Oryctolagus cuniculus: one gene and its partners. The protein of the gene in region 2 binds, or shares a complex with, the protein of the main gene of each other region. Links are inferred from orthologs where the notes say so. Each region holds a gene or a part of one and is shown on either strand. Other genes may lie near its edges.

Region 1 (7,730 bases), on a different chromosome or scaffold from region 2:
TCCGATCCAGCTCTTGGCTAATGGCCTGGGAGAGCAGTGGAAAATGGCCCAAGTCCGTTCAGTTCGGTCCAGCTCCTGCCATTGTGGCCATTTGGGGAGTGAACCAGAGGATGGAAGACTTTCTCTCTCTCTACCTTTGCCTCTCTGTAACTCTGCCTTTTAAGTAAATAAATAAATCTTTAAAAAAAAAAGTTGAATTGATGGCTCCATCGATAAATTCGACCTAGCATCTTGCTGAGTGACTTCATAGGGCTCTCTCAAGGAGGAAGGGTAACAATGGGCTTGTTTTTATGCTGTTTGCAGTACAAAGGTGCCATCAATCAGAGCTAATGAACTGCTCCATTGTTTAGGCCTCAACCACTGCTAAACACATCTGTAAGAACACGCACTGCTTCCCTTCCCGCTGATGAACGCCAAGACCAGTGGGAGTTGGAAAGAGGACTCCATTAGAGAAAAGAACACTGCACCATATATTCTACATGATACACAAGTTCCTCAGATGTGACTGGCTCTGTACAAAACAGCTAAGAACCAAGAAGCAAGCAGCAAAGGTAACCGAGGAAATAAAGCAGCAGCACAGTCCATGCAAGAAAACACAGAAGGCTGAGTCTCTATGTATAGGGATCTCAAGGTCCTCCCACAGAGCCTAATCACACTCATGTGGACTGAGTCCTAACAGCTCTGGCCACCTAGCTTCTCAGTGCACAGCAAATCAGAGATTAGAAAATGTGGAAGACAGAAAACTATTATATCAAGAGCAGATGACTTAACAGGAGGAAGTAGATTAAGCACAATCTACAAAAATGAGTTACAAAATTTCAGAAATTAAAGCAAACCCAGAAAAGAATAGCTGGAAAGGTTTTTATTAAAAATAGTGGCAATCGGGGCAGGTGTCTAAACTAGTCCTGAAGATGCCACATGGGATGCTTGTATCCCATACTGGAGTGGCTGGGTTTGAACCCCAGCTCCCTGATTCCAGCTTCCTACTAATGGGCACCCCAGGAAGCAGCAGGTCAGGGAGCTTGGTCCCTGCCACCTGCTGGGAGAGCTAGACTGACTTCCTGGTTCCTAGATTTGACTTGGTCCAGTCCCAGCTTTGGGAGGTATTTGGGGAGTGAACCATTGGGTGGGAGGTCTCTTTCTACCTTTCAAATAAATAAATAAGAATTTAAAAAATGATAATCTTAGAGAGTTCAATTGTCACTGAGAATATGAGTCTTATCTTAAAACAGTGCAGCGTTAATATGGCACCTCATATAGTGGTTTCCATGAAACGCTGAATTTGCGTTCAAATAATGACCCCAAGTTGCTTTCTCTTAGTCCTGGAGTTTCTGACTTGATGGCCATTTATATTTTATTTTACAGACCACAAGTGATTCTGAATGAGGAATTACTATTGTAATATTCTAAAGAAAGGTAATAACACACTCAAAATATTACTTAAAAGAAATAAGTAATATTTTACCAATATCTACAAGTGTTTTCAATAAAATCTACTTATTAAAAAGTCTGGGTACATTAAAGTAATGTGAATATTCACTTGGGTAAAACACTTCATCTCCCAAAGTGAGGGAGGGGCTAACCAACACACCACCAACAGCCAACCTGCTCTCCAGATGGTTTCTCCCGAAACCACCCACTGTTACCAGAGAACAGGAATACTCGATATGGAATGAAATCGTGGTAGAAGCTGAATTGCAAGTTATAGGAAAAGTATTTCATGACTTAACACAGAGTGTGGGCGCCACACAGCAGAACACGCCAGACAAAACGCTGCACCTCTACTCACCTTTCTGAAAAATCAGAGTCGATAAATTCTCTAGCCCGTTTCCTATCACTAAAAAGAAAAGACAGCATAAAAACACTTAACATATACACAACTTTATTTAACAGGGAAGTATTATAACTTGTCTATTCCTACACTGAATACATCCAAAGACAAGAATTAACAAAAATAAAAGATACGTACAAAGTTTTAATTTTACCATGGGACAAAGACATCATGACATAAAAATCATAGGTTGAAACAAGCTTGACAATTAATATTTAGGGAAGAAATCATTGCATATTTACAAGTAAGAAGAGGAAAGTTTATTCGTTCTGGAATGGCTGACAATAAAAACACTAGACAGTCCTGTCAGCCCCAATATAAAGTGGGAGCTGAAAACACACAAATCCTGGTTATCTCCAAAGTGAGCCGACACTACTGGAAAGGGCTTGGTTCTCGCGTTAGAATCCTTCAGGCCATGTAGAAATCCAAGGTTAACTTTTAGACCTACATGAGAATTTTCCATGAGAATTTTCTTAAGGATTGAGTAAGGGTCATAGGGCTACAGGTGATTCTGTCATTTCATCTTATTAAGATGCTGGAAAAGCATGTACACATATATAAGACTCTCTGTCTCTCCTATACATGTATGTGTTCATGTATACATGTATGTATGTGTGTATATAAGCATGTATATGGCCTAAAGCATTTGTTAGGATTGTTATTCCATTAATTCACTTAATATTTTTAAAGGAGATTCTAGCTCACACATGACAGAACCATCAATGCAGACCCCACTGTGTAAATAACTCCTAAATTAACAACTTCAAGGTAGAGATGAGTATTTGGCCTAGTGGTTACAACCCCGGTTAATACATCCTCATTCTACACTAGAGTACCTGGCTTTGATACCCAACTCCAGCTCTTGATTCCAGCTTTCTGCTGATGCAGGCCCTGGGAGGCAGCAGTGCTGGCTCAAGTGACTGGGTTCCTACTACCCACATGGATTAAAGATGCATTATTATCTGGATAAATATAATAATCCATAAAGATCTGGATTAAATATCGGGTCCCAATTTGGTCCAGCCTCATCTCTGCTGTTGCAGGCAATGAGCCAGTAGAAGAGAGCTTGTTCTCTGTCTCTTACATTCACTCACTCTCTGCCTTTCAAAATAAACAAACAAATAAAACAAAAAACTTCTAAAATGACAAAATTAGATTTGGAGTCATTTATCTTAAAGTGTTTCTTTTTCCATGGAAGGATGAAATGCTAAAATGAAGGAGTGAGAAATGTTGGGTAAGGATACAAAGATTTGATACTAAGAGTGGCAAATGAGTAACACTGAAGGGACATTTGTTTAACTGGCCAACATTCAAAAAGAATCAAGGGATGGGGCTGGCATTGTGGTACAGCAGGTTAAGCTGCTGCTCGTGATGCATCCCATACTTGGGTACCAGGTTAAGTCCTGGCTACTCTGCTTCTGTTCCAGTTCCCTGCTAATACTCTGGGGGAAGGCAATGGAAGATGGCTCAAGTATTTGGGCCCCTGCCACCCACATGGGACACCAGATGGAGTTCCTGACTCCTGGCTTCAGCCTGGCCCAGCCCTGGCTGTTGTGGCCATTTGGGGAGAGAACCAGTAGATGCAAGACCTTTCTCTCCCTGTCTCTCGCTCTTTGTTGCTCTACCTTTCTAAGAAATAAATACACCTAAAAAAAAAAAAAAAAAAGTGGAAAGGAAAAATCTAATGCAAAAAGATACCTGGCCTCTTTTCCCTAGTTCCTTTTCTTGCTTTTATGGAAATAAGAATTCAGAGGGGAAATCTTGAGAATATCTAATACTTAATACATAACTACTTAAAACAACATACAAGACAGTTTTTATGTCGCCAAAGCAGCTCAATACTACAGCCATAAGAAGCAGTCCTGTTTCAGAGCTGAGAAGCCAGGAGATTCAGTTACAAGTTACTGTACTGGTTACTGGTTTTCCTGTTTACAAATGGTTGCTCCAGAGACGATTTATATCTAAGATGTAAAGTGAAATAAAGTAAGTGATTCTAAAGGAAACAACATTGGTTTTTATGAACCAAACTAACATAAAAGAACAGAAGACAAGAGAAGTTAGGGAAAAAAGTTCAGAGCTCTTTTTAGAATTTTCATTTTAAGGTTTTAAAAATGGTAATTTGCAACACACTTACCTTGGGACCCAGCCAGCAGCTTCTGCTATGTGTGTCTGAGTAACCATGGCTGGTGCAGGGGTGTATGGACTCCCAATCAGAACACTTCCTGAACTGGTTAGTCTCTGTGGTGTGCTTATAATCTGCAAAGTGAGGAACAAAGAAAACACTCTTATTGATTAAAAGGAGAGTACAAGCTGAAAATCTATACATGAGGACAACACCTTGCTGCCCCACCACCTAAAGTGTAAGCAACTTGTTTGATTATATTTCTGTAATTATATCCTAGGATCTTAAGGTGTCCTTAATATCAACACGAGGTCACAAAACAGCTTTCAGCAAGTAAACAGCAACCTTGAAGGCTTCCTTTAAGTACCAATTAAGAGAGAACAACATCTATAAGGACTACATCTCCGTTACTAAAGCCTTAACACAGAAGTGACTATTCTATGCAAATGAATGCTAATTAACTCCTTTCACTGTTTAAATGAAATCTGTTTCTGAAGCCTCAGTCTAAGTCACCAAATTAATTGTTAGCTTGCTCCACACAGGAACCAAAGGCAAGGATTCTTAGGCATTTCAAGCTCTTCTTTTGCATTTGAAAGAATAACCTCTGACCTGTAACAACAGTTCAGATTTAGCTGCTAAAGGGTAGTCCACATTTGTACACTTACTATTAGGGAACTTAGCTTCTGTTTCTGTTTGGCAATACATCAGCTTGTGGCTAGGGAGATGTCAGTACAACAAATATTCAGGAATAATTTTGGTAAGTTAATTCTATAGTTAAAATAAAACCAGGGGCCAGTGTTTTGACGTAGTGGGTAAAGCAACACCTGCAACACCAGCATCTGGTATGGACTCTGGTTTGTTTCCTGGCTGCTCTACTTCTGATCCAGCTTTCTGCTAATGTACCTGGGAAAGCATCAGAGGAAGATGGCAAGTACTCAGGCTCCTGCCACCCAGGTGGGAGACCCGAATGAAGCTCCTGGCTCCTGGCCTAGCATATCCTTGGCCATTGTGGGCATCTAGGGAGTAAACCGGCAGATGGAAGATCTCTGTCTCTAACTTTTTCAAATAAGTAAGTAAATCTTACTAAAACATAATATTAAAGTAAAATTAAACCATAATAGAGTAGATGTCCAGAAAAATTGTGATTATCTACAATATGCATTCTGAAGCCTGCCTCCTGAGAAAAGATGAAACTTTTGTACCTCACCGAAGTCTGCCTTGCACCCTAGGGATGTGCAGACCTCCCAGGCCTCCCCACATCTCACGGCACCTCCCCACTCCCACCTCCCTGCAGGATCTCCACAGGCAGCAAGCAAGCACACCTCGCTAAAAACTGCATCCTTTGCTGGGTCTAGCACAGTGCAGGGGAATGGAAAGCATGATAAATATTTACTTAGCTGGGACAGTAGCCCAATTTCTAAAATTATGGGTAGGAAAAAAAGTAGCTTCCTCATTCATTGGTATGCTAAGAAAGGATTATATAAAACTCAGCCAGAAAAAAATGTATAATATAAAGTGCACAGTTCTTTCCATGCATCCCTAATTTAAATGTAATCATATGGTTTCTCTGGTAACAGATTAGTTAGGCAGAAAAGTCAGATAGTGCTGGACTTCAATCTGAAAATTTTCTGTGTTCAGTCAGCTTCCTGATGCTCTACTGCCATCTACAGTCCGAAAAGCCAAGAAAGCAGACATATTTTGAAGGGAAAAAGAATCTACATAAAGTGTTTATTAAAGGCTTCCATTACTCGACAAAATTTCGGTTTTTACTACAAGAATTTTTTTAACCTACTGAAATAAGATGGCCATGAAAATTCTCATCTATCAAATCATAAGATATGCATTTATACTGCTAGCCTCCAAGGTAAGCTGCAGGAGATGAACTGTCAGAAGGCAAACATCCCACATTAGTTTCCATAACCACAGAAAACAAATGAAACCTATCCACCACCCCCACCCCCACCCCGTCCCCACATCCAGCTTCCCAGAGAGGAGAAGGGTGAAGGGTGAAGGGCAGGTGGAGAGAGATGGCTGCTAGCAGCAGACAGCAAGGCTTCATCCAAGGGCTACCCAGATAACGAACACTTTCAAAGGCCATGGATAAGGAATTGAGGGCGAGGGGACAAAGTGCAAAGAACAGGAAGAGAACTGAGAAATGGCTCTAATTGGGTATCTCAGTCCATTTGGGTTGCAGTTAACAAAATGCCTTAGACTAGGGGATGTGCCAACAACAGAAATTTACTGCTCCCTGTTCCAGAGGCTGGGAAGTCCTAAACCAAGCCACAGACCAATTCCACGTCTGCCAAGGCTCCTGCCTGCTGCACTCCCATGTGACAGTGAGGGTGCTGGGCCTCTTTTATGAGGGCACTCGCTGCTCCCACTCAGGACAGCAAAGCGCTCACACCTCTCCACCTCCTCTGCAGACTACCACAGTGGGGGTTAAGCTTGAACAGAACGTGGGGGAACACATTCAGAGCATAGCATTCTGCCCCCAGCTCCACCCTCCTCCACAAACTCCTATGAGTCTCACACAGAAACATATTCCTTCCACTCCAACAGCTGTGGAAGTCTTAACTCCTTCCAGTATCAACTCCAAAATCCAAAGTCTCATCTCTATCAGGTATGGGTGAGATCCAAAGGGGTGATTCATCCAGAGACTAGTTCCCTGCAGTGGGAGCCTGTGAAACCAGACAAGTTACATGCTTCTGAAATACAACCCTGGGACAGGCACAGGATAGACATTCCCAGAAAAAAGGGATAATAGTTCTTAACCAAATTCATACCCAGCAAGGAAAACATGAAATCTTCAGGTCTGAGAATTAATCTTGATACATGGGACTGGGCTGTGAGTCCCCAGACTCCAGGGCTTTGTTGGGACCGGCCCAGAGTGCAGTTCTCTTCCTCCTGCCTGCGGTTCGCCCACCACTTCACTGGGCATTTCTGCTGTCAGGGCTTTCTACAGAGCCCCACCCCGTCAGCAGGTCTCTGCCAGGGCATCCTCAAACTCAGACAGGAGCAACCAAGCCCACGCTCATGCACTCTGCCAGAGGCCCCAAGCGTTTTACCACCTGTGCTGTCTCGAGGAGTGGGTTCCGTGCCCTGCACTGCACCTGTGCCCACTGGAACCACGCTTGGAATGGCTCAGAGTTCTGTGTCAGAATGCAGGGAGCACGAACTTGAGGCAGTGCCAGGCAGCGATGGCCAAGGTCCCATAAGCTCCTGAAGCCACACTTCTGATACAGTTCTTTCCCCTGGCCCTGTGATGGGATAGGTAGCACCAATGGTCTCGTCAATGCCTTCGGGTTCATTCTCCCCTGTCTTGGTTAACAGAACCAGGCTTTCACTCATATCCATTCCAATCTCCTTATCAAAAGGTTGCTTGGCAATGCTTTGCTCTCTCCCAGACATGCATGTTCACACAACATGGACAGGCTGTGAATTTCACAAATCTTTTACGTTCTGTCTCCTTTCTGATTACAAGTTCCATCTTTAACTTGTATCTCTCTTCTTGAATTTTCCTATACACAGAAGTTACCCAGGGGTGTGTGTTACAGCATGGCAGGATAAGCCACCACCTGGGATGCTGGATCCCATATCAGAGCGCCGGTTTTGGTCCTGGTGGCACTGCTTCTGATCCAGCTCCTGCTGATACACCTGGGAAGACAGCTGAAGATGGCCCAAGAACTTGGGCTCTGCCACCTGTACTGGAGACCAGGATGGAAGTCCTGGCTCCAGGCTTTGGTCTGACCCAGCCCAGGCTGTTGCAGCTATTTGGGG
Region 2 (8,173 bases):
GGCAATGAGCTGGATGCCCTCAAGGACGTTGGTGATGTCGTAGATGCGCCGTTTCTGCACCTTCAGCACCTCGGCCGCCCAGTTCAGGTCAACAACGCCATCAGCTGAGCGGCTCAGCAGCTCCAGGAAGCGTTTGGTGGTCAGGTTCAGCGAGGTCTCATAGCGTGACTTCTCCCCAGGGGATTTCACACCTGGGGAGACCAGGCAAGGGCCCTCAGCACCCACTACCCACCCCCCAGCTAGGCTTGCCTCCCTGGCAATGCAAAGCAGCAGGAATGGGGGTGGGGGCCCGCAGATGGTTCCTCCCCCTCAGCCAGGCCAGGCAGAGAGGCCCAGTGGCTGCTGCCTGCCAGCCACCGCATTCCTTTTCCAGCCAGGGAACTCCCCAGCCCCCAGGGTCTGAGGAAGCCATGCCAGGCAGACCCCCAAGGCCTGGCTCAGACCCAGACCTGACCAGCCAGCCTTCAGTCTGCCACAGAGTTTGTCCACACCCTCACCCTGGGCCTGGTCAGAGGGCCTGCCAACCCCAAGCTCCATGGGTACCTTTCCCCGGGTGGCGGCCTCTGCCCCGGACGGGCACACTGCTTTCAGCCAGGTATTGATGGTCAGTTTCCAGGTCCAGTCTCCGCTTCACCTGCAGCAAAAACAATGGGAGGATGCCCAGTAACCAGGAGGGAGGCCAAGGAGACCTGGCTGGGAGCTTGGTGCCCGTCTTGGCTTTACCTAGATGCCCAACTGTGAGTACAGGAGATCCCAGGGGACACAGGCTGGGGGTGGGTCGATTACAATCCTGCCACAGGACAGACACAAAAAGGCAGAAGACCGGAGTTCAAGTCCCAGCTCCACCATTTTACAGCCAGGGCCCACATTTCGGCTGCAACCTCGAGACACCCTGAGGCAGAAGTGTCCGGCTAAGCGTGCTGCACTCCTGACCCACAGGAGCCGTGTGATGCACGATCCTCGCTCTAAGTCACTGAGCACAGTCCCTCGGGTAAGCCACCTGTCTCGGGCCTCTGAGGACTGAACCGTGGCAGCAGCTGGTGCTCGCAAGCACGTGGCGTACATTAGCCCTGTCCAGCCTGCGGACGGTCAGTACAAAAGCCCCATTTGACAGATAAGACAACTGAAGCTCAAGGATGTCCAAGGTCATCCAGCTAGGAAGTGGCAGAGCTGGGACTTCGACTCTGCACCTCCATGCCCTCTGGCTCAGTACAGACGCTCGAGGGTGGTGACTGTCCCCACTGTGCCAGACAACTCAAATGTGCCCTGACCAAGACCAGACCTCACTCTCCACCAGCCTCTGACCTGGGACCTCAATCCCTGCCTGCTTCCTTCCTCACATCCAGGTGCCCGGAACACACACCGCAGCCACTCCCTGGCTGGTTCACGTCCACGCTCACGCTGGCGTCCTTTCTCCGCCTGCCATCATGTCCTATCACGTCACTGCCCTGCTCGAGAGCTTCGCCTGGGGCCAGCGCTGTGACACAGTGGGTTAAAGCCCTGGCCTGCAGCGCCAGCATCCCATGCACCGGTTTGAGACCCAGCTGCCCCACTTCCAATCCAGCTCTCTGCCAGGCCTGGGAAAGCAGAAGATGGCCCAAGTCTTTGGGCCCCTGGATCTGCTTGGGAGACCCAGAAGCAGCTCCTGGCTCTTGGCTCTGAATCAGCTCAGCTCTGGCCATTGCAGTCATTTGGAGAGTGAACCAGTGGATGGAAGACCGCTGTTTCTCTGTAACTTTCAAAAAGCTAAAATAAATCTTTTTTTTTTGTTTTTTTTGACAGGCAGAGTGGACAGTGAGAGAGAGAGAGAGAGAGAGAAAGGTCTTCCTTTGCCATTGGTTCACCCTCCAATGGCCGCCGCGGCCAGCGCACCACGCTGATCCGAAGGCAGGAGCCAGGTGTTTCTCCTGGTCTCCCATGGGGTGCAGGGCCCAAGCACTTGGGCCATCCTCCACTGCACTCCCTGGCCACAGCAGAGAGCTGGCCTGGAAGAGGGGCAACCGGGACAGAATCCGGCGCCCCGACCAGGACTAGAACCCGGTGCGCTGGCACCAAAGGCGGAGGATTAGCCTAGTGAGCCGCGGCGCCGGCCCCAAAATAAATCTTAAAACAAAAACCTCTCCTGATGCTCGTCTGCCAAATCCTCTCCACACGACCTTCTGTGGAGCCTCGCTCGTGACACGTCTGTACCTCCAAGCCACAGCCCCGGCTGCCCCTGCCCCCACACCTGCTGCTTCCACCTCTGGTGGGCACTGGGCTTCACCAAGTGGCTGCTGAATGAACCCCTGAACCTCCTCACAGGCTGGCCATTTTCTATGATAAACATGTATTAAAGTGGAAAACGTGGACTTTTCAATGGCCATTGACAATGGGGTGTGGCTAGAGGGGCAGAGTCAAGGGGAACAGCTGAACTGTATACAACCTTGTATACAGCAGGTGCTCAGTGAATGGTCACTGGTAAAGAAGCAAAGTCTGTAGTTTATTTCAAGGACAATTCCCAAAAAAATATCAGTACAGCAAGTGGAGGACAAATGCTGGGCCTTTCTGAGCCAGTCCCCTTCCCCACACACCCACACCCAAAAACACCTCCTGGCACTAAGGCCTGGGTGGGCAGAACTCCATAGTGGCCCATGCCAGCACCTCCTGGGCACTTACTCCTGGGCACTTACTAACTCAGCACGCTCGGGCTCCTGACGCCCTGGGGGCAGAGCGGAGGGCGTTTCTCCCTATGCCACGCCTCCCCTCTGAGCCCTGAGCCCACAGCCCTCACCTGGAACTCCGCTCCCCCAGCTCAGCACCCACCGGCTGTTAGGTCTCTTCAGTACTGGGCCTGCTAAGCACTTGTCACCTGCCCAGCTTCCAAGCTGGCCCCTGGGGGACAGGAGACAGGCCAGGTGACCCACCCCTGGGACACCCTTCCCCCCCCCTCCCCGCTCTCAGGAGGAGGGTCCCCAAGACCTTCCAGGGCTTTCTTCACCCTCCATCAGCTTGGTAGATCCACTGCCCCGCCACTCACCAAGCGGAGTGGGGAAGGTCCTAACACCTCGAGGCCTCAGCCTCCCACCTGTGCAGGGAAGGCTGCTGACAGGGTTAAATGAGTTAATTGGGTAAAGTGCTTGGCACAGAGCCTGGCATACAAAACATCCTCAAAACAATGGCGGCCACTATTGTTATTATTATTAGCATCTTGGTGATTCCGGAAGGAAGGCAGCACTGGGCACAGTGCCAATGGGGTTGAGGGGCCCTCGCAGGACGCCTCGGGGACCAGCTGCCACCCACACTTCCATCAGCAGTAGAGCAGCTTCGAACTCCTAGTCCTGGCCCCTCCCACTGCTCCAAGCCCCCTGCTGAGACCCCATCCAGCCCGGCCAGCCCCTGCCTGCCTGCCCGCCCGCCCCACCTTCACCCACACCCTGTGCCCGTCAAACTGGTCCCCACACCCTGTCCCGCGGCCCACAGGTCCGGGCTCCAGACCTCCACTCCCTTCTCCCACCGGAACTCAGCCTCTCTGGGCTCCCCTACAAGAGCCAGTCCCGAGCACCGCGCTGCTCGCTCATCGGGGAGGACTTTCCAAGGGACCTCCCTGGTTGGCGTCCTTTCTCCTGGCAGCCAGCTCCCAGAGGCCCAGCCCACCCAGCCCTTCCACAGAGGCTCGGGGTCTGCCTGCCTGATTAATGAGGCTCCATGGCAACCAGGGTCTGGGAGGGTGGAGGGTGGCAGATGGAGGGGATCAGCAGCTGGCCCGGCCACCCCGCCCCTGCGGAGAAGGCCTCCCAGCCGGGAGCCTGTCCCCAGAGGCCTGCAGGGCCAGACTGCACCTGGCGGTCAAGCACGGGGCCGGAAGGAGGGTCTCCTCCATGCTGCCCCCTCCAAGGGTCAAGCCCCAGGAGTGTCCCCAGCCCGCCTCGCCTCCCTAGGCAGCCTTGCCCACTGCCCCGCCCCTAATTCTGGTCTCAAGCCGGCAGGCCTCAAACCCCAGCCCGACCACCTGCAGCCCTGAGACCAGGGGCGAGTCACTTTCCCTCTCCGGGCTCCCCCAGACGGCCATGGTGACAACTCCGAGCTCACGGCGGGGTTGTGAGTTTTATTTAGCTGGCGAGAAATCTGCCACAGGCTGGCACACAGTAAGCGCCAACTGAATACACGTGGGCTATTATCGCTCAGGCCCACAGCCCTGAGGAGCCAACAGGGACCCGCCCGAGGTCACCACGCACCCCGGGGCGGGGCCCGGAGGCCCAACCCAGGCTCTGGACCGCCCAGCCCGGGCGCCTCAGTCCACCCCTCCCCCGCCCCCGCCGCCTGCGAGCCAAACACCGCACCCGCCCGGGTGCGCGCGGGGCCGTCAGGCAGGCTTTCGGCCCGGCGTCTCCGGAGTCCGTACCGGCGGGCGGCCGAGCGCCGGACGCGGCGCGCTGGGTGTGGGTCGGGGCGCCTGCGGCGTGGCGAAGAGCAGCAGGTCGGGGTCGTGAGAGCCCGCGGCGGGGCCGGCGGGGGCCGGCGGGGCGCTGGCGTCCTGCGCCGCGGAGATGATGACGATCTGCGAGGAGTCCAGCAGCCGCAGCGCGCCGGCCCCGAGCAGGGCCTCCAGCGCCGGCGCGCACGGGCCGCCCGCGGGGGCCACGGCCATGGCGCTCACGGCCCGCGTGGCCCAGGTGGCAGGCGGCGGCGGCGGCGCGGGCCCATGGCGACAGGCCCCGGCGAGGGCTTGATCCCGCTCCGCCCCCGGCCGCCGCTGCCTGCAAAGTCCCGGCCACTTTTACGCGCCAAATCCTTTTTGCCGCGAAAGAGCCACGAGCCGCCGAGAGCCGCCACCATTGGCTGTCCGCGCTGTGACGGAAGCGGCGGCGGCGGCGCCCATTGGCTGCATCGAGCACGGCCGGCGGCGGAGGGCGGGACGGGGCGGCGGCGCGGAGTGGCGCGGCCAATCGCAGGGCGGGGCTCGCGCAGGCTTTGTCGGGGCGGTGCCCAGCGAGCTCGCACTCCCCACCCCCAGCACGGGCGTCCGCGCCGGAGGCGTGCGGACTGGGACCCCGCCCCGCCCTGACACACCCCGTTCTGCTGATTCCTCTTTCCTGAGGCTTAGGCCGCGGGGCCTCGGTCCTGCGCGTTTTCCGGTCAGCACAGCCCTGGTGACCCGCCCCCAGACCCTCAAGCTAGGGCCCCTCCACCCTCAGCCCAGGTCTGCAGACACCGCCGCCGCCTCCTCTGTGCACCCTCCAGAGATGCAGCCCCATCTCCTGTCCTCGGCGGCCCCCACCTAGGCCATTGCCTCAAACTCCTCGCCGAGCCCCAGCCGAGGGGGCTACCAGGAAGTGCGGGGGGCCTCAGTTCTGTTGCCGCGCGGCTGCGGCTTGCGCTGCCTCTGTGGTCCCCTCCTTAGTGGCGGCCCTGGCTGGGGCCGTAAGGGGCGGCGGCGGACAGAGAGGTAGCAGCTGTTTATAGCATGAGGAGGTTTCGGCCATGAGAGACCTCACAAAGGGAAGAGGCGAGGCTGCCGGGCGTGGGAAAACATCTAATCCCGAGGCCCTGAGACACCTCCATCAGCACCTCCCACTGCTCAGCTCGGCCGATTTGGCCTTGTGTCTGCACTGGGGACAGAGATGTGAAAGACGTCCTAACTGTCGAGTTTGCCTGCTGCCTGGTGAGCGTGGCCCACAAGCAAAAAGTAGCTAGGACACAAACAAGAGTCAAATACCACTTCTTCCAGGGAGCCCTCCGGAGTCAGTTACTCACTTCTTCCACTGCCGGCTGCGGCCTCTGTTCCTGCAGTTGCCTCCTCTCCCCGCCTGGGAGCTGCAGTGATTGCTACTCCCAGCTCGGACTGGTCCACGAGCCGGCGCTGGGAGAGGTTCTGAAAGGACAGGGGCCACCAGCGTTCTCGGAGTCGACCTTGTGCCCCGGCTTCAGAAGCACCCCGGCCTCCCTGGCCCTGCCAGTTTAGAGTCTCTGAATAGCCAGGGGTTTATATTTTACCAAGTACCCTCCCCCACCCCAACACACACCCTCATGCCAGGGGCGCTCACAGGTGTGTGCTCACTGGTGAGAACAACTTGGTTTAACCAAAATGCGTGGTGCCGCCTCAAAGCACAGCTCCTGGGGATGCTTCTGGGCCTTGGTTTCTTCGTCTGGGAACTGGGCCCGCAGACCCTGCCCTGGCCCCTTCCAGGGTTGCCACGAGCCGGAGGGAATACGGGTTTGCACATGTTTTGTAATAAAGTGGTGTTTGGGAAAGGGGCAGGCATTTCTCCTCCCTCTGATAAGCGGTTGGTGAAATGCTATTGCAGATCCTGCAATGTGTCCGTACTCGAAGAGGCCGCACGTTCAGGGGGAGGTGGTGGTGCAGCCAGTCAGCGATAGACTGGCCTCCGCCGGGTTCCTGGCGTGGCATCCGCCTGTCCCCTGTGCTGCCATCCCCAGGGTCCCCCATGCAGAAGCTCAGCGCTAGATCTCATTCGAAATCGCCAAGCCAGGCACGGACAGCACAGGCAGCTGGCACATTCCCACTTCCGGTGGACAGTTTCCTTGCTCCACACCTTCCCAAAGGGTCCCAATGATCAAGACTCTTTTTTTTAAAAGATTAATTTATTTGAGTAAGAGATCTTCCATCCACTGCGTCACCCGCCATGTGCTTGCAACAGTCAGGGCTGGACCAGGCTGAACCCAGGAGTCAGGAACTCCACCCAGGTGTCCTTCATGAGTGGAAGGAGTCAAGTACTTGAGCCATCCCCCGCTGCCTTCCAGGTGCATGAGCAAGAAGCGGGATTGGAAGCAGAGTGGCTGATTCTTGACCCAAGCACTCCAGTGTGGGATGCAGGCATCCAGAGTGTGGCTTACACTGCGGTGCCGCCATGCCTGCCCCAGGCATAACCCTTCTGGGAAAACCCTCTCATACCCAATAGTCGTTCAACAAATACTGAGTACCTGCTACAGGTAAGCAGCATGCTAATTGCTGGAGAGGGAAGAGCTATTTTTCTTCTTATTTTAGGATGAGGAAATCACGATCTTACCAATTAGATAAAAAGGTTTGGTAAGGCCAAGGCCAATGGTTTTCCAAGTGCCTGCCTTCCCCAACGTATTCAACTACATACCTGAGGGAGAAATAAATGCCTTCCTTCCCACAATCCCTTGTGTCCTACTGCAGCAAAAAGGAGTGAAGCCCGTAATTCCCAGCATGAAGCCAAGGAGGAGATAAGAGCTCTCTGGATCTATTAATGCCCACTTAAAAGCAGACAAGCCTGATGGATGGGGTCCCTCGGCCCTGAGCCTGGCAGATCCCGATAAGGCCGTTCTCAATGTCAACAGTCCTCCTTAGGCTGACAGGCTTCCGAAACACTCACAGTCACCAGGCAGCCACTTCCACCCTCTCCTTTCAACCCGATAATCCTGCGAGTGAAGCTTGTTTATCCACGTGATACAGGAAGGGGGAGACTCAGAGAGGGGCGCTCAGGACTCAAGGTCACACAGCAGAACTGAGATGGGCACTCAGCCTGCTCTACTGCAGAAGCCGGGGCCTGCCCTCCATACTTGCCATCCAAGAGCCGGGCTCAGGGCTGTTGTGACGATAGAGTGCGGCTTCCAAAAGATCTGATGATGGAGTCCGGCTTAGTGACAGGTGTTCACAGTTGTCAGCACCTCCGCCAACCCCCTCCTCTGGGAGTGCAAGGGGCTGGAAGCTCCTGGGCCCATGATCCCCTGCCTGGAAACAGCCTTTCCCTGGTTCCTTCCAAGAGGCAGCGCAGTGGAACACAGGCTGCTAAGTCACGTGGGTACACAGGAATCCTGGCACGGAGATTCGCTCCTCTGAGCCTCACTCCTTCAATCCAGATACTTACTGAGCACCTAGGATGTGTCTGACTGTGTGCTGGGTGCATGGGAGACAGTTATAAGCAGCTCACAGTCCAGTGGGAAAGTACAGAATGACGTCTATATACCTACACAATATGCTTGTTAAGAAGTCTGACAAATGGGGCGGCGCCGTGGCTCACTTGGTTAATCCTCCGCCTGCGGCGCCGGCATTCCATATGGGTGCTGGGTTCTAGTCCCAGTTGCTCCTCTTCCAGTCCAGCTCTCTGCTGTGGTCCAGGAGGGCAGTGGAGGATGGTGCAAGTGCTTGGGCCCCTGCACTCCCATGGGAGACCAGGAGGAAGCACCTGGCTCCTGGCTTTTGATCAGC
Region 3 (7,730 bases), on a different chromosome or scaffold from region 2:
CTCCTCACTGTGCGCCGACCGGTTCTTCCGCTTCACCTGCGGCCGGGGAACGCTGCCCTCCGGGGGGCTCGGGGGCCGACACTGTAAACATGACTTCCTGGCCTGATGGTGGCAAGGCTGTGTGTGCGGGCTGCTGCCCGGGGACGGCACTGAGGTAGATGGGGGCGCGGCCCCCGAGCTGGTGGGGCTCGCGCTGCTGACGGAGGAGTACCCTGAGGTCGTGATGTCCTTGCCCGGCGCGGTCCTGCTGCGGGCGTGGGGCTCGGGCCCTGCGGAGGGAGCTGCCAGGGTGCCCGGCGCCCGGCGCCCCGTGGCCTCTGGAGAGGCCTCCTCATCACTCGACGCCTGGCAGCAGTGCTGCTCTGGGTCCAGGCAGACCACGGTGACGTCCAGGATGCCACTGGGAGCCGTCACTGTGGGAAATGTCGGGGCAGGAGAGGTCACACCACAGCTGGGGCGTGGGGTGGGGGCAGGTCCCGGCTCTCAGCCAGCAGGCGGACCCCATGCCAAATGCGCTGCCCCACCTGTGTCAGCCCCTGCACCGCTCGCCTCTGCGTAACGTGGACAAGCTGCCTGCCGACTCTGGGCAGTGGCGGGTGACAACAAATGGCCACCTCACCTAACCACTGGTGGACACAAAACTGAAAATCCACAGGAACTCACCTGCCGGGAGGTAGAGCCCACGGCACAGCAGGGCTCATGTACACAAGCACACATCTCAGAAACATTCTAGAAAGATTTTACTGGGTACAGCAGGTTAAGCTGCCGCCCGTGACGTGGCATCCCACGTGAGCGCCAGTTTGTGTCCCAGCTGCTCCACTTCCGACTCAGCTCAGTGCTAACACACCTGGGAAAGCAGCGGAAGATGGCCCAAGGACTGGGCCCCCGCACCCACGTGGGAGACCTGGATGGAGCTCAGGCTCCTGGCTTTGGCTTGGCCCTTGCGGGAATTTGGGGTGAACGAGCAGATGGAAGATATCTGTCACCCCTGTGACTTCCAAGTGTGTCTTTAATTTAAAGGATCTTATGAACTCCAGGCAGGGAGTTCTGTCCCCACCCCGGAGAGGGTCTACCGATATGCCTGCCTGTAGCATATATGTAGACACTGGCCGTCCTAAGGCCTCCCTCTCCCTACTGCCGCCACCCCGCACTGGTGTTCAGGGGCTCTGCCCTCATGCCTCCCTGTGTCTGGCCCCAGCCTGGCCCCAGGCTCAGCCCTCTGCACACCCCCTCCCCGGTGACACTCACCGTCGCCCTCCTTCTCGCCCTCGCTCTCCTGGTCACCCTCGTAGCCAGAACAGCAGTCCAGGCTCCAGTCCAGGAAGCTGCCCAGCAGTGTCTCCTCCTGGCTGGACAGCTCTGCAGTGGGGGTGGTGACAAAGCTGCCCCTGTCCTCCTGCAGGCTGTTCTCACGCTTCCTGTAGCGGGGGACAGCCCAGGAGGCCTGGTCAGAGGCGGCAGTGTCGGGGGCCCACCCAGTCCTCCGCACCTGCACACCCTGGGCTCATGGCCATGTGCTCCCGAGAGGTTTGTGGGTAGAATGGGTGGAAGGCCTCGAGGGCAGGGGCTCGGCTGGGGGAAGGGCGATTTGGAGAAAACCGAGCCTGGGGCAGGGTGTGAACCTGGCCCACTGTGCTGCAGGACCCCACAAAACCACTCGGCCCCTCTGGAAGCTGGGAGGACGATGGCACTGTCGGGTGCCGAGAACAGGAGCTGCAGGCCAGCCACGCTTGGCAAAGGCGGCACCAGGTCTCCCTGGGAACGGACAGGAGGAGAGCAGGCAGACACAGGCGCACATGGGCAGCCCAGGAACCCCCTCCCGGAGTGCATGCGTGAGTACGTGTGAGTGCGTGCACATGTGTGCGTGTGTGCTGGGGGTCTCAGCCTGCGTGTAGTCAGCTTGGGAGGGGCCCAGTGCAGGGAGGCCTCCCATGCTTCCCAGGGAGGAAGGGGGAGCAGCACGCGGGCGTCTGCTGCCAGGGCCCGTGCCCCAGAAACCAGCTGTGGAGGTGGCCTTGCACGGCCCTGTGTGTGACAAGGGTGACAAACCACCCAGGGCCTGCCCACAGCAGCTCACGGGTGCGTGCGGGGAGTCAGAGGCCCTGCTCACGTGGGCTTTGCAGGATCAGTGGGAGTTCTTCAGGGCGGACAGGATGGGGGGGCTTATCCCAGGAGGCACAGCAGGGACACGGAGGCCGGACTGAGGGCCGCGGGGCAGTGGTGCGAGGGAAGGGGGTGGCGCAGTGCCATGGTCAGCTCAGCTTTGCCTGGCCAGCGAGAGGCAGCACAGAGAACGGGAGCCACCGGGGGAGGGCGGTCATCAGGAGGATGGCCCGACCCAGGCTGCCTGGCTTGAGCCCACAAACCCCCTCTGGGGGCCGCAGCGTGGCTGAGGGGCACAGGCCAGTCTACAGCACAGCCCCGGCCCGGAGCACTCACCGTTTGGTTCTCCTCCCAGACGGAGAGCTGAGGAAGGCGTGGATGTCTCCCGCGCTGACCAAGGACGCGGGCTCCGGGCTTTCCTGCTTCACGCCCAGGGCTGCACACAACTGGCTGTAGCTCAGCACCTGGGGGCCCGAGGCAGGGAGTGGAGAGGAGCCCACAGGCCGATGAGGCCCCCGACACCCAGGTGAGCGGGACAAGGCTCCTCCCTCTGGCCCCCGACACTCAGGTGAGCGGGAGGAGGCTCCTCCCCCTGGCCCCAGACACCCAGGTGAGCGGGAGGAGGCTCCTCCCCCTGGCCCCCAGACACCCAGGTGAGCGGGAGGAGGCTCCTCCCTGACCCCTGACACCCAGGTGAGCGGGAGGAGGCTCCTCCCCCTGGTCCCAGACACCCAGGTGAGTGGGAGGAGGCTCCTCCCCCTGGCCCCCAGACACCCAGGTGAGCGGGACAAGGCTCCTCCCCCTGGCCCCCCGACACCCAGGTGAGCAGGAGGAGGCTCCTCCCTCTGGCCCCCGACACCCAGGTGAGCGGGAGGAGGCTCCTCCCTCTGGCCCCCGACACCCAGGTGAGCGGGAGGAGGCTCCTCCCCCTGGCCCCCCGACACCCAGGTGAGCAGGAGGAGGCACCTCTTCCTGGCTGATCTCCTCGTAGCGCTTGTCTTCGAATCGCTGCTTCACCGCCGTCAGGGAGACTTGCCGGTAGTCCTTGGGGGCGTCGTCGTGGAAGCTGGAAACGGGCATGGAGGCAGACTCGTGAGCTCCCCACCCTGTCTTTTTTTTTTTTTTTTTTTTTGACAGGCAGAGTGGACAGTGAGAGAGACAGAGAAAGGTCTTCCTTTGCCGTTGGTTCACCCTCCAATGGCCACCACGGCTGGCGCGCTGCGGCTGGCGCACCGTGCTGATCCGAAGGCAGGAGCCAGGTGCTTCTCCTGGTCTCCCATGGGGTGCAGGGCCCAAGCACTTGGGCCATCCTCCACTGCACTCCCTGGCCACAGCAGAGAGCTGTCCTAGAAGAGGGGCAACTGGGACAGAATCCGGCGCCCCGACTGGGACTAGAACCCAGTGTGCCAGCGCCGCAAGGCGGAGGATTAGCCTATTGAGCTGCGGCGCTGGCCCCCACCCTGTCTTTAGCCTCAACTCACTGACGTGGAGGGGACAACACTTTCAGAGCCATCCCAGCCATAACAGGACATGCTGGGGAATAGTCTGGCGGTCCCCCCAACAACGGGCAGACGGCTCCCACGTGCCCAGCGTCCCCCCAGCAACGGGCAAATGGCTCCCACGTGCCCAGCGTCCCCCCAACAACGGGCAGACGGCCTCCACGTGCCCAGTGGTCTCTCCCACTCTCGAGTGCAGTGGATGGATGGGTGGGTCACCGAAGGCAATGTGGCCACACACCGGGATGTTATCCAGTCACATGCCACAACACGGATGAAGCAACGCATGATGGCAAGAGAAAGCAGTCAGACACAGGCCACGGACGGGGACTCCTTGGTATGGAACGCCGGCATAGGCAGATCCAGCGGCAGGAAGATTGATTACCAAGGGCCAAGGAAGCCGGAGTGAACCAAGCCTGGGGTTTCTTTCTGGGGGGTTGGGGTGGGGGTGCATGTGTGTATGTATGTGTATGTGTGTGTGTGTGTGTGTGTGTGTGTGTGTGAGAGAAAATGTACTAAAATTCACTGGTGGTGGTTACAGGACTCTGTATCTTAAAAGCTTACTATTAGACACTTTTTAAAAGTACGGTTCCTGAATAAAACCTTCCAGTTTCTCTTTGAACGCTGCCATGCAACGCTTTTGGTGTCCACTTGTTCCGGGGGTGAGCGGGGTGGGGGGGACAGACACGCTGCCCCTTGATCCTCACCCCCTTCCTCATCTGCCCGCTACAGAGGAGCCTGGCAGTTCAGGAGAAAAGAGCGGGAAAAGCCCAAGGCAGTGGGTCCCCCGACCGGATGGACCAAAGAGGGGGCTGGCTGCAGGGTGCTGCCATCCTGGAAGCCGGAGACAAGGCTCCGGTCAGCACAAGGGCAAGGGAGGTGCCCACAGGTGGCCAGGCGGCCACCCACGCCCAAGGCCCTGATCCCTCTGTGGGAGTGTGAACTTCCGTGTGTCAGGAAGTTCACCAGACCCAAGAGCTGCCTGGCTCCAGGGGTGACAGAGGCAGACATTCTGCGGTCACCAAATGCAGCCCACAGGCGGAGCCAGCGAGCGAGCGGGCGTCTGCTCAGACACCGGGGACGGGCCGGAGGGAGGCTCAGTGGGACAGTCTGGGGCAGCAGGGCAGAGGCAGCACCAGGCCACGGACCCCAGGGTGGTGAGGGGGACCCCAGAGGGAGGGGCACTAAGCAGCAGGAGGAGCAGAGAGGCTGAGAGGAAGGCGAGGGAAATGGCCGCAGCCGGAACCAACTCAGCACCAGGCAGTCCCTGCCCCGGCCCCTGCTGTTCCCAGCTCACTGCTCCACTAACGGCCCCGGCCCCGGCCCCGGCCCTGGCCCCGGCCGGTCCGCACTCAGGCTAGGAACAGCTGTGCCCTCTGCCTGTGGCCCGATGCTCTCGTACCCTGCCCCAGCTGTTGTGGGCAGGGGAGGCTGGCACCCGCCGTGGCATCCGAGGCTCCCCCTGCCCTGGCGTCTGGCGGGAGGGTTTGTGTAGACTCACCACTTCTTATGAAGGCTCAGGACGCAGGGCATGAGGTCTTCGTAGGAGAACCCAGTGAAGTCCCACAGCCGAGTGGGCCAAGGCTGTGCTGGGGAGGGAGGGAGGGAAGCAGGCTGGAAACGAGGGCCGGCATGATGGCCGCCTGACCACTGCCACCCCACAGCTCTGACAGCTCCGTCCCACACTCCCGGAAAGCTGCAGTCCCTTGAAGTGGCTCTGGGGCCTCTGCCCCCCCGGCGACGCCTGCGGTCCGCTCTGGTGTCTCCCCTCCCCTCGGAGCACTCACCCTGCCCATGTACCAGTCTGGCCAGCAGCAGGGCCGCGGCGGCCAGGTGGGCCGGGGCGTAGGCGGACAGGCTGGTGTGCAGCAGCGACAGCTCGCACAGGAAGCTGCACAGGTGCTGGGTCCTGGGCGCCATGGGCACCAGCGTCAGCAGGACCTCTTTGTAGTCGACCACCGTGGGGATCTGCAGAGGCGGGTAGTGGGCATGAGGGCTCCGTGTTGGAGGGTCCCTCCCTCTCACGCTATGGGGGGTCTAGGGTTGGCCCAACGACGTTCACACCGCTCCGGGCGTGGCAGAGCAGCTGCCGCCTCTGGGTCCCCGAGGACTCGTGGAGCAAGGGATGCTGGGTCCCCCGCCCCTCCCGCAGCCTCAGACCCAGTAACGTGGATTTCAAAGGACACGGCGCCGGCACTCACTCGAATCTTCCCCTCCAGGGTGGAGACGATCTCCCCCATCATCCGCACCAGGTCCTCGTACTTGTAGGTGTTGTCCGTGAGCCACACGGCCTCCCGGATCGTCAGGATCTCCTTGCTGACGAACCTGCAGCGCACAGGTGGGGGCTCAGCCCTCAGCCTACTTTTTGGGGCAGGGGCGAGGCCTGGGGCCTTTGGACGCCTCCAGGTCAGCGGGGAGGGTTGGCTTTAGCGGCAGGAGGAGGTTACACCGGACTTGTTGCCTGTGGCCAGCGGGGGGGTGGGGGGAATCTAAAGGGAGACGGTGCTGGAACGAGCATTAGAGCCACCAGGCACAGGCAGAGGTGGTCAGTGCGGCCATTGGGCCCTCTGCCCCCAACAACCCTGGGGACAAGGGCTGGCCCCGCCGTGTGACAGCGACTATCAAGCGATTTAAGCCCTGGAGGTGGAGCACTCTTGGGACCAGGACTTGGAAGAGGGCTGAAGAAGTGCCCGGCCGGGTGCCCGAGGCAGCAGACACCCTGTTCTCTACCAGCTCCCCGCATCGGCCATCAGGGAGCACGCTGCCCCCAGGGCCCGGAGGACTCCTTCCCCAGCCGGGGCAGGCCGTGTCCCGAACTCTGCAGTCTGCACGTTCGTCATGGGTTGGCAGAGGATGGGAGGGGCTGGTGTGTAGGGACAGGCCTACACGCGGGCAGAGGCAGCCGCTGCGGAGAGGGAAGGCGGGGCATCCCGGCCCTAAAGACATTTCTAAGCAGTTAGTTTCCCACTGGGAGTCGGCCGGCGGCCCGGTCACGTGGTCTTGGGCCATCAGACACAGGACTGTGGAGGCTGCACCTGTCCAGCTGCAGGTGGTGGGCACACCCACGGCTGGGTCCATTCACAAGCTCACCGGGGAGTGCTCTGCTCACTGACCTGGAACCCGCGTCCCCCCCACCGGATGTGCTGCTGCTTTGAGCAGCTAGACTACACGTCCCCTGTGACCCAGCTTAGGGGTGAAGCAGAGACACCTGTAGGTGTCACAGGGCCGGGGGGGCTCCTGCGGTAGGACAGGGCCAGACCACAAGCCATGACCTCATGAAACGGAAGCCCAACCCCGTGAGCCTAGCCGGGACCTCTGCGTCTGGGCAGACGGCGGCTCAGAGGCAGGCAGGTTTGAGCGGTGTCACCCCAGCACTGAGACGCCGTGAGGCGGTTCTCCGTTCGGACTCCGAGAACACGGGCAGGTGGTGGGTGCCCTCGGGGGTTGGGGAAGCATGATCCAGTCACACCCCAGTGAGCCCCCGGGAGGCAGGCGCCCTGCAGGACAGCACCACTCGGGCTCACGCTGTCAGTACGGGAGGTTCGGGTCCCCTGCGGCCGGGGGTCCTCACCGCGTGCAGATGACCATGCAAGCGATGCCCAGCAGCTGCAGCCGATAGCGCGGCACCACCCGCCTCCGCAGGTACCGGTCCACACACTCCACCGTGAGGTGCAGGCACAGGCTCGTGAAGTCCTTCATGGTGGCGACCTCGACCAGCCAGTCAATCAGAATGTACCTGTGGGCAGAGGGCCGGCACCGCGCTACACCAGAGCCCTCCAACCATCCCCACCTCATCTCTGCTGGGCTCCAGGGACGAGTGGGTGGGAGTGCCGGCCCCCACCCCACACGCCCTGCATCTCCAGCTGTGTTCCTGGGAGGCGGGGGGGGGGGGGCTAGCACAGGAGGGTGCTCACACACACAAACGCCTGGGGCCTCATCCTAGCACAAAGGGAACAGCCCCCCCCCCCCCCCCCCCCGCCTCTCCCAGCACTGGACGGGTCTGACTCTCGGGTAGGGGCAGGCGGGGGCTGGCTCACAGGTCCCAGGACCAGAGAGAAACCGCTCAAAGGCAGAACGAGCGCTGACTGTCAGGCAGACCCCGACCGCCCCTTCCCCTCACTCGGGCGAGAC

Evidence for each region. The genes of interacting proteins can lie anywhere in the genome.
Region 1: E2F1 (region 2) and TFDP2 share a complex: the UniProt entries of both Homo sapiens proteins name them as parts of the DRTF1/E2F transcription factor complex. The link is inferred for Oryctolagus cuniculus from reciprocal best matches to the Homo sapiens genes E2F1 and TFDP2.
Region 3: the proteins of E2F1 (region 2) and CCNF are in contact, whole or in part, in a cryo-EM structure (PDB 9CB3), measured with the Homo sapiens proteins. The link is inferred for Oryctolagus cuniculus from reciprocal best matches to the Homo sapiens genes E2F1 and CCNF. Residues at the interface, in NP_005216.1 of Homo sapiens: Gly84, Arg85, Pro87, Val88, Lys89, Arg90, Arg91, Leu92, Asp93, Leu94, Glu95, Thr96; in NP_001752.2 of Homo sapiens: Met309, Ile312, Leu313, Asp315, Trp316, Glu319, Val320, Met323, Arg349, Leu352, Gln353, Trp379, Leu380, Thr381, Asp382, Thr384, Asp504, Tyr505, Val508, Leu510, Thr511.

The regions. Positions count from the first base shown.
Region 1 is NC_091435.1:139,868,289-139,876,018, reverse strand, and holds part of TFDP2 (transcription factor Dp-2), read right to left. Parts: intron 4,088-7,730; coding exon 3,966-4,087; intron 1,838-3,965; coding exon 1,790-1,837; intron 1-1,789. UniProt on the Homo sapiens protein: Can stimulate E2F-dependent transcription.
Region 2 is NC_091442.1:24,379,046-24,387,218, reverse strand, and holds the start of E2F1 (transcription factor E2F1), read right to left. Parts: upstream 4,763-8,173; 5' UTR 4,628-4,762; coding exon 4,382-4,627; intron 635-4,381; coding exon 544-634; intron 192-543; coding exon 1-191. UniProt on the Homo sapiens protein: Transcription activator that binds DNA cooperatively with DP proteins through the E2 recognition site, 5'-TTTC[CG]CGC-3' found in the promoter region of a number of genes whose products are involved in cell cycle regulation or in DNA replication.
Region 3 is NC_091450.1:32,841,068-32,848,797, forward strand, and holds part of CCNF (cyclin-F), read right to left. Parts: intron 7,336-7,730; coding exon 7,171-7,335; intron 5,925-7,170; coding exon 5,801-5,924; intron 5,568-5,800; coding exon 5,387-5,567; intron 5,189-5,386; coding exon 5,101-5,188; intron 4,222-5,100; exon of another isoform or gene 3,241-4,221; intron 3,170-3,240; coding exon 3,070-3,169; exon of another isoform or gene 3,009-3,069; intron 2,941-3,008; exon of another isoform or gene 2,568-2,940; coding exon 2,440-2,567; intron 1,833-2,439; exon of another isoform or gene 1,642-1,832; intron 1,419-1,641; coding exon 1,249-1,418; intron 414-1,248; coding exon 1-413. UniProt on the Homo sapiens protein: Substrate recognition component of a SCF (SKP1-CUL1-F-box protein) E3 ubiquitin-protein ligase complex which mediates the ubiquitination and subsequent proteasomal degradation of target proteins.